2 linked regions of the Drosophila melanogaster genome follow. The protein of the gene in region 1 purifies or fractionates together with the protein of each later gene. This does not show direct contact. Each region holds a gene or a part of one and is shown in the gene's direction. Other genes may lie near its edges. The genes, in order: Fmo-1 and Cyp6d4.

The links.
Region 2: the proteins of Fmo-1 (region 1) and Cyp6d4 purify together in Drosophila melanogaster (affinity purification with mass spectrometry, with the first as the bait; one large-scale study listed by BioGRID). This does not show direct contact.

The regions. Positions count from the first base shown.
Region 1 is NT_033778.4:23,960,985-23,965,202, forward strand, and holds Fmo-1 (Flavin-containing monooxygenase 1), read left to right. Parts: upstream 1-1,971; 5' UTR 1,972-2,075; coding exon 2,076-2,263; intron 2,264-2,322; coding exon 2,323-2,509; intron 2,510-2,561; coding exon 2,562-2,733; intron 2,734-2,790; coding exon 2,791-3,326; intron 3,327-3,390; coding exon 3,391-3,558; 3' UTR 3,559-3,657; downstream 3,658-4,218. Other genes in the region: alpha-Catr (alpha-catenin related), read left to right, coding at 236-352; CG13566 (uncharacterized protein), read right to left, coding at 671-963, 1,018-1,097, 1,162-1,355, 1,422-1,463; Alas (aminolevulinate synthase), read left to right, coding at 3,901-4,218.
Region 2 is NT_033777.3:22,696,407-22,701,124, forward strand, and holds Cyp6d4 (cytochrome P450 6d4), read left to right. Parts: upstream 1-1,912; 5' UTR 1,913-1,989; coding exon 1,990-2,678; intron 2,679-2,735; coding exon 2,736-2,938; intron 2,939-2,998; coding exon 2,999-3,654; 3' UTR 3,655-3,901; downstream 3,902-4,718. Other genes in the region: cd (cardinal), read left to right, coding at 1-943, 1,001-1,170, 1,231-1,526; CCAP (crustacean cardioactive peptide), read right to left, coding at 4,352-4,644, 4,698-4,718. UniProt on the Drosophila melanogaster protein: May be involved in the metabolism of insect hormones and in the breakdown of synthetic insecticides.

The DNA.
Region 1 (4,218 bases):
GTATCTTAATCTTAATCGCTAACTTTTGTATTTCACGCATGTATGTACATATGTATCTTGATGTATTGAGTTTTGAGTTGAGTTGAGTTGATAGCTTGATAAGATCCCCCATCGTGTGTTTATCTAACCCAACTGTGACCTTTAACCAACAATTGGTTTTGGCCACTCATAAGCTGCAGTGCCAGCTCCTCTACGAACTCCATCCTAATCCTAATCCCCTTGCTCCGCCTTGCAGTACAAACTAAATTTAACTGGCATAACCGGAGGACTCACCTCGGAGCGGTCGAACGAGAACATGGCCGGCGGCATGTGCGATTCCAAGGGGACGACGAGCAGCAGCGACATTCCCTGACATTACGGGATGGCTCGCCGAGCCAAGGGGGATGCGCGAAGGACGAGGGTGTCCTTCCTGCTGTTCTGAGAGGAGCCCGGGGGTTTTGCTATCGTAGTCTACACTGTTGGCACTGCATTCCGTTTTGTGTACGCGTATTAGTTGGCGGCCGCTTCTAGCGTTGATTAATGTCGAAAACTTTATTAACATACGAGTCCAATTAGTTGTTTCAGCAGCACGATCTTATAATGCATATTTTGTTTCACTACATTCGATGTTACGGCAATAAAGGTAACGCAGATGCAGATACATATGTATCTCGAGCTCTTTCACTTGGGTCTACAAGTCGGTGCGTAGATAGTTCCTGCTGCTTTCGTTCACGATGTGAGTGCGGGGCATCATGTTGCAGCAGCTCATCTTCGGTTCCTGCGAAAGATTGTACACCTTGAGGGCCACTGTTTCCTTCGACTGGTCTGTTTGGACGGTGGAGTCCCTCAGCTTCAGCAGGTTCTTGAAGAACATCAGGTCCAGGGCGAACAGAGCGGCGCAGATGAAGCAAAGTGCTCCCAATGCATAGGCAAATATCAGCAGATCTTCGGACAGCTGCTCCACCGTGAAGAATATCAGTAGTCCTGGAGGAGAGAGTTCATCACTCTGACATTACTGCATCCCAGGAGCCATATTACCCTCTATGGTGAAGAACAGAACGCCACAGGTCAACAGAATTATCTCACAGGTGCCATAGTTTGAGGTGCCCTCGATGATCCTAAGAGGAGATGGTCTTAGCATATCATATATATATATGTCATAGTCACTGGGTGGTTAGTTACCTCGTGAGCAGCAGCACAGCTGCAATGAAGGTATAGCCCACGAAGGTCAGCGTGCCGAAGTCATCGCCCTCCTTCGACCAGGAGATGCTGTTGAGGAGGGTCCACTCCCTGGACTGCTTCTTGTTGATGGCGAACACCCGTTCCGAGTGCTTGTCCGACAATCGCTTTACAATCAGGGCCGCCACCGTGGCAATCTAATGGGGATGTATCTCTATCATTCAAGGTAACTCAAAGTCTCCTTCTAACTCGAAGATACTCGCCAGTTGGAGAACTTTGGTGCAGATGCAAGCTGGTAGCCCCATGTTAGACGATCTTGACGTGCACTTTGCTACTGCGGCACGTACGTTCCGAATCCGCCTGACCCATGCAAATTTTCTCACATTCAATTTCGCAGTTTAGCGTGGGAAAAGACGAACTCAAAGAAGTTGGCCTCATGGCCCATAGTCCATAATAGCCCAAAACCTTGAACTGCTCAACGAATCGAGCACATCTGAGCATCTGTGGGCAATTGCTGTGCCGCCTATGCTTCCTATCGGCAGTGTAAATATTAATATAATAAATATATATGTTTATATGCCCCATAAACAAAAGGCGAGACAAAAGCAGAGGCTTTATGCTCTTTCTTATCAGCGCGATTACAAAAAACAAGCACAGCGATTCATACGGATTGCGAATGCAAGATACTCTCATTAGACTTGCATAATTTTACTACTTAAAGGCCTCAGCGAACCTCTCAATGAAGTCCAAGTACCCAACTTTTGCAGGGCTATCAGGCGGGGAAGCCAAAGAGCTCATCACGGTGCGATCCTCAGTTTCGTGGAGGCAATCGGCGTGTAGAAAGCAATCCCGGCCTATCTCACTTAGGATCGCAGCTAGCAATTAAAATTAATATAAGCTGTAACCAATACTGTAATATGATGAGCGTTTGCATAATTGGGGCCGGAACCGCGGGTCTTTGCTGTGCCCGCCATTCGATTGCAAATGGGTTCGAGACCACTGTGTTCGAGCTATCTGACCGAATCGGCGGCACCTGGGTTTACAATGAGGCAACAGGGGCGGTCAATGGCATCGATGTCCACAGCAGCATGTACAAGAACCTACGGTACGTAAATCTTTCGAAAAACCATTTGATATTCTAAGAGTTTCCGGGCCTCTTCAAAGAACCAACCTGCCCAAGGAGGTAATGGGCTTCCCGGACTTCGAAATCGGGGCAAACGAGGCTTCCTATGTGAGATCCGACGAGATCTGCGACTTCCTTAACCAATACGCGAACCATTTCGACCTGAAGAAGCACATCAAGTTCGATAGCTATGTGATTCGAGTTTTGCAGAGGAAAACAAAGTGGCAAGTAAGTCGTGGAGTCAGCTTTATATATAACCACTTAACTGAAACGTTTGCAGGTACTTTTCAAAGACTTGGTCACCAACAAGATAGAGTTCCAGTACTTCGACAAGGTCTTGGTGGCCAATGGCCACTACCACACTCCGAATTATAGCCAAATTCCGAATATGGAAAGGTTTAAAGGGCAGTTCCTGCACAGCCACGACTTCAGAAGTAGGGAGGTTTTCGAAGGTAATTAAGGAATAACTTCTATTAGGTTATTTCACATGGTGTTCCATTCTGCTCAAGGTAAATCCGTTCTGGTCATTGGAGCTGGTCCCAGTGGCATGGACCTGTCGAACATCATTTCCCGAACGGCGGATCGGGTCACCATAAGTCACCACTTGACCGATATCGGGCAACACTCATTCTTCGAGAACGTACAGCAGAAACCCGATGTGCGGGAGCTCGATGAGAAGGGAGCCTTTTTCGTGGACGGATCGTACCAGGAGTTCGACACCGTCTTCTTTTGCACAGGTTACAAGTACGCCTTTCCCTTCCTGACCGTCGACTCGGGCATCTATGTGGAGGACAACTACGTCCAGGAGCTGTACAAGCAGTGCATCAACATCAGGAACCCATCCATGGCTCTGATCGGACTGCCGTTTTACGTTTGTGCCGCCCAAATGATGGACATCCAAGCGAGGTTCATCATGAGCTACTACAACGGATCCAACGAGTTGCCGTCCACGGAGGATATGCTCAAGGACACCCGCGATAGGATGGGCAAACTGTGGGCGGAGGGACTAAGAAAACGCCATGCCCACATGCTGGGTCCCAAGCAAGTGCGATGCAAGTTGGCTTTACTTCTCTATCTGGTTATTAATTCTATTCTCATTTATTATCAAGATCGACTATTTCACGGACTTGTCGCAAACTGCAGGAGTTAAGAACATCAAGCCTGTGATGACCAAATTGCACAACGAAAGCAGCAAGTGCTTCAATGAGAATTTGCTCCACTTCCGGGAGGACAATTTCGCGATTCTGGACGACGAGACATTCATTAAACTCAACTAGATCCTGAATCAATCAATAGGAGCATTAGATTCCAAAACATCGTTTTTGGACTTCCCTTCGAAATAAAATAAATTTCCAATTCTTGTATTCCAAAACAACAGTTTAAAAAATGAGCTTTTATTCTCGAACAAAAACTTTTTGAACACCGGCAAACATTTGTTTGAACATGTTTGTTGGTATTTTTCCAAACAGCTGATTGCGGGCAGCGCACATTCACCAGCTCTGGCCACACTCGCCCGCCTCCTCGCAATCACCTTCTTGCATAATTTTCGGAACACCTCACTTCGCTTTCAAAGTTCGCTGATTTAGGTCGGGTCTTCAAAAGTGGAATAGCGCCTCGTCATGCAGTGTCCGTTCTTGAACCGCTTCACCGCCAGCTTCATCCGCAACTACGCGGAGACGCTGTGCCAATCCTACGGGAGCCACTGTCCCGTGGTTGGGAAGACCTTGGTATCCGGCGAGAAGAAACTTTCACTCGTCGCCGCAAGTGTTACAAGGTCTCACTCGACGGGGGCGAACGCCCACGCCAATGCTGGTGGCCCCGCAACTGCCAACGCCACCGCTCCCGTCTCCGCCCCCGCCTCTGCCGATCCTGGCAAGGCATCCGCCAAGGAGACCTTTCCCTACGAGCGCTTCTTCAACGAGCAGATCATGAAGAAG
Region 2 (4,718 bases), on another chromosome or scaffold:
GTCCACGGATGCAGCTGAACCAGGCCACGGCATTTATCGATGCCTCCGTCGTGTACGGCAATCTGGAGCAGCGGCAAAATCAGCTGCGCAGCTTTATCAACGGATCTCTTCGGATGTTTGTCACGGATGATGGTCGCCAGCTATTGCCCATTTCCTCGAATCCGGCAGATGGCTGCAATCGTGTCCAGATGACTCGACTGGGTAAATACTGTTTCGAGTCCGGCGATGATCGGGCCAATGAGAACCTGTTGCTCACATCTATGCATTTGCTGTGGGCTAGACATCACAACTATTTGGCTCGACAATTGCAGGAGCAGAATCCACATTGGGAGGATGAGCGGCTCTACCAGGAAGCCCGAAAGATTCTTGGTGCTCAGATGGCACACATCACCTACAATGAGTTTTTGCCAGTGCTGCTGGGGAAGAATATCAGCGAGGCCAAGGGCTTGCTGCCTGCCAAACACAATCTAAATGCTCCGGATACGTATGACCCGGAGGTGGATCCAAGTATTGCCAATTGCTTTGCAGCAGCCGCATTTCGATTTGCACACACTCTTCTACCGGGATTGTTTAATATCTCGAGGGATAACAGCACTCCCGAGGCCATCGAACTGCACAAGATGCTCTTCAATCCATTCTCGCTCTGGGCGGAGCATGGCATTGACCACGCCCTGATGACAGCGGCCAATACGCCGGTGATGCAAGTGGATCGCTTCTTTTCACTGGAAGTCACGCAAAAGCTTTTCGAAGGCACCGCAGAGGATAGGGTGCCTCTTTGTGGACTCGATTTGGTATCCTTAAACATTCAGAGGGGTCGGGATCATGGCATACCCTCGTATCCAGTCTTCCGTCGCCATTGCCGCCTGCCGACGGTGGACACGTGGGAGGAGATGTCACAGGCCATTGACAACGCTACTCTGGACTCCATCCGGCAGATTTATGAGTAAGTAAAGTTCTCGATTATAGTATTGCCTTAAAGGTAAACACTTTTGGTTTTTAGATCTCCGCAGGATGTGGACGTCTATACGGGTGCACTTAGTGAGCCGCCACTGGATGGAGCTATTTTTGGTCCGTTGCTCAGCTGCATGGTTTCCGACCAGTTCCTACGCCTCAAACTAGGTGACTCCCATTGGTACGAACGGAAAATGGGCCCACAGAAGTTCACCAAAGGTGAGAGTCCTTGGAAGTCCTATTTTCTCATTAAGAATCGTGTTTATCCTGATTCATAAGCTCAATTGGCGGAGATCTACAAGACCAGTCTGGCCGCCATCATTTGTCGCAACTCAGATGGAATCACCCGAGTGAGGGAGCATGTTATGCAGAGACTGCGCGATGGAGGTAATCCCCATGTGGATTGCCAGGACCTGGAGGGATTCCATTTCAATTTCGAACCCTGGTCCGAGAAGCAACAGCCCCAGGATCTTCATAGTGCCGGCATAAGCAGGGGATCCACTTCGGTGCGAGTAATGTCCAAGGCAAATCATCAAGCCCACAACGTAACCCTACATATTGATAAAGGAATCTAGTTAGAAACAAGATTCAATTTTGATTAGGAAGGATTTAATATTAAATATTATAAAAAACATATACTTCTAAACCGGTTCCTTCTATTTTAAAATAGAGTTGCTATGCTAAAGTTAGTTAACTAAACAGCAGCCCATCATAAATCAACAATAAGTCAACGAATTCTAAGATTATAAATCAACTTTTAAGTATTTTGTATATAATAATTGTTAGCTTATAACATAAGAGCTTTGTTTTGCATTTCACCATTAATATAAAGCTGTCATCAAGACTATCAATGTAGCTTTGTTCATTTAGAATTCTTCGCTGTAAAGAATTAAGAGAACGTTACTGCCAAAGAGAACAAATAATCGACGAATTTCAGCGCATATAAGTGGAGGCTCTCCAGTTTGATAGTCAGTTATATATTGACTTTCGCAGAGAAAGGGTGGATTTAAAAAAAAGAAAAGGTGCACTACTTCGACTATGTTTTCGCTGATTTTATTGGCCGTAACGCTATTGACTTTGGCGTGGTTCTATCTGAAGCGCCACTATGAGTACTGGGAGCGACGCGGATTTCCATTTGAAAAACACTCCGGGATTCCATTCGGTTGCTTGGACAGTGTGTGGCGGCAGGAGAAGAGCATGGGCTTGGCCATCTACGATGTGTATGTGAAGAGTAAAGAGCGCGTCTTGGGCATTTATTTGCTCTTCCGTCCGGCTGTTTTGATCAGAGACGCCGATCTGGCTCGCCGTGTTCTGGCCCAGGATTTCGCCAGTTTCCACGATCGCGGCGTTTACGTTGATGAGGAACGGGATCCCCTGTCGGCCAATATCTTCTCGCTTCGCGGTCAGAGCTGGCGATCGATGAGGCACATGTTGTCGCCATGTTTCACATCCGGAAAGTTGAAGAGCATGTTCAGCACATCCGAGGATATTGGTGACAAGATGGTGGCCCATCTGCAAAAGGAGCTGCCGGAGGAGGGCTTCAAGGAGGTGGACATAAAGAAAGTGATGCAAAACTATGCCATTGACATTATAGCCTCGACTATCTTTGGCTTGGATGTAAATAGCTTCGAAAATCCTGATAACAAGTTCCGTAAACTGGTGTCGTTGGCCAGAGCCAATAATAGATTCAATGCCATGTTCGGCATGATGATCTTCCTGGTGCCCTCGTAAGTAATAAGTGAGAGTGAGTTTTGCTATGGTGTGTCTAATGGATGTTCTTGTAGGATAGCACAGTTCCTATTCAGAATAGGTTTTAAAAATCCAGTTGGCCTGGCCATGTTGCAGATTGTCAAGGAAACCGTTGAGTATCGCGAGAAACATGGAATAGTGCGCAAGGATCTGTTGCAGTTGCTCATTCAGCTGAGGAATACCGGCAAGATAGACGAGAATGACGAGAAGTCCTTTAGCATTCAGAAGACACCCGATGGTAAGTCATAATACAAGTTAAATTCTAATCAAGATAGATTGAGTGGTTTAACGTTTTCAGGTCATATTAAAACCATATCCTTGGAGGCCATCACCGCTCAGGCTTTTATATTCTACATCGCTGGTCAGGAGACCACCGGATCGACTGCAGCCTTTACCATCTACGAGCTGGCTCAGTATCCAGAGCTACTGAAGCGCCTGCAGGATGAAGTGGACGAGACACTGGCCAAAAACGACGGAAAGATCACCTACGATTCCCTGAACAAGATGGAATTTTTGGACCTGTGTGTGCAGGAAACCATTCGCAAATATCCGGGTCTTCCCATTCTGAATCGTGAATGCACCCAGGACTACACAGTACCCGACACCAACCACGTCATTCCGAAGGGAACGCCAGTTGTGATCTCCCTGTACGGCATTCACCATGATGCAGAGTACTTCCCGGATCCCGAGACCTATGATCCCGAACGCTTCTCGGAGGAGAGTCGCAATTATAATCCCACTGCATTCATGCCGTTTGGCGAGGGTCCCAGGATTTGCATTGCCCAGAGGATGGGTCGTATTAACTCCAAACTGGCCATCATCAAGATCCTACAGAACTTCAATGTCGAGGTGATGAGCAGGAGCGAAATAGAGTTCGAGAACAGTGGCATTGCCTTGATTCCCAAACATGGAGTGCGAGTGCGTTTGTCCAAAAGAGTGCCTAAATTATCATAAAAATTACAATTGCAATGATGAAATACAATAGTTAAGTGGCTAGCAAATCACTCCGATTATTTGGAATGATAAGAGATTACCGTCAGATAAAAAACAAAAAGTGTACAATAAATTCATTATCAAATCATTAATTAATATTTAAATTCGAAAATAACTTTTATGAATTAACATAGTTTCTTGTTATAATAATGTTACTTTTAACTCGCTCTCTATTTATAGGTATTATGTAAATTATAAAGTTGAAATGAATATGTGTGTTTTGTTAATTTATTTGCTAAAGTTGCCTAGGTGCAATCCATCTGTTTGCTGTTGAAATACCTTTTATGATTGTCCTTATCGTTATCATAAGTATGCAATGATACGAGAACCAACTGCGATTACCAATTACTAATGTCACCAAGAGATAGCATAGGGTAACATATTGTATATTCAGTGTGGTAAAAATAATGAACTTTCTAAACCGTTTTCTATAATCAGATGTATTACCAATAAATACAATAGACCAGAAAACAACAAAAAGTGAGGTCAACAATTTTTATTGAATGCAATGCCAGTGCTGTGGAATTCTTCACAATTCAAGGAGTCATGGATAAAGATAGTATGTACAATAACAAAAGCAGTGTGCTAACCGTCCAGTCAATTTGCTTTCCAGAAATCCGACTATTCCGATAATTCCGATTTATCCGATTATTTCGATTTATTTGCTTTCGCGCTCCTCCAATTGCTGCATCTCCTTTTCATTTTGCAACATTTTCTGTTTGTTCTTTTGCCGAAAGATTTCCTTGCTGGCTTCTTTGATGGCCTCGAAGATTTTGGCCTGCGACATGATTTGCTTTTGAACATTTTCCACAGCTGGCTCGGCATTGATATCGATCAAATCACTTAGACCTTCGGATAAATACTCATTGTTATAGGGTTTCTCTTCGACTTCGTTGCGTTTGAATAGCGAGAATGGCGGATACGAGGGATACGTACGCTTTCGTCCACAGCCTGTAAATCGTCCGGATTGTAATGGATATTATTATATATTGTATTAAAATTACCTGTAAATGCATTGCAAAACG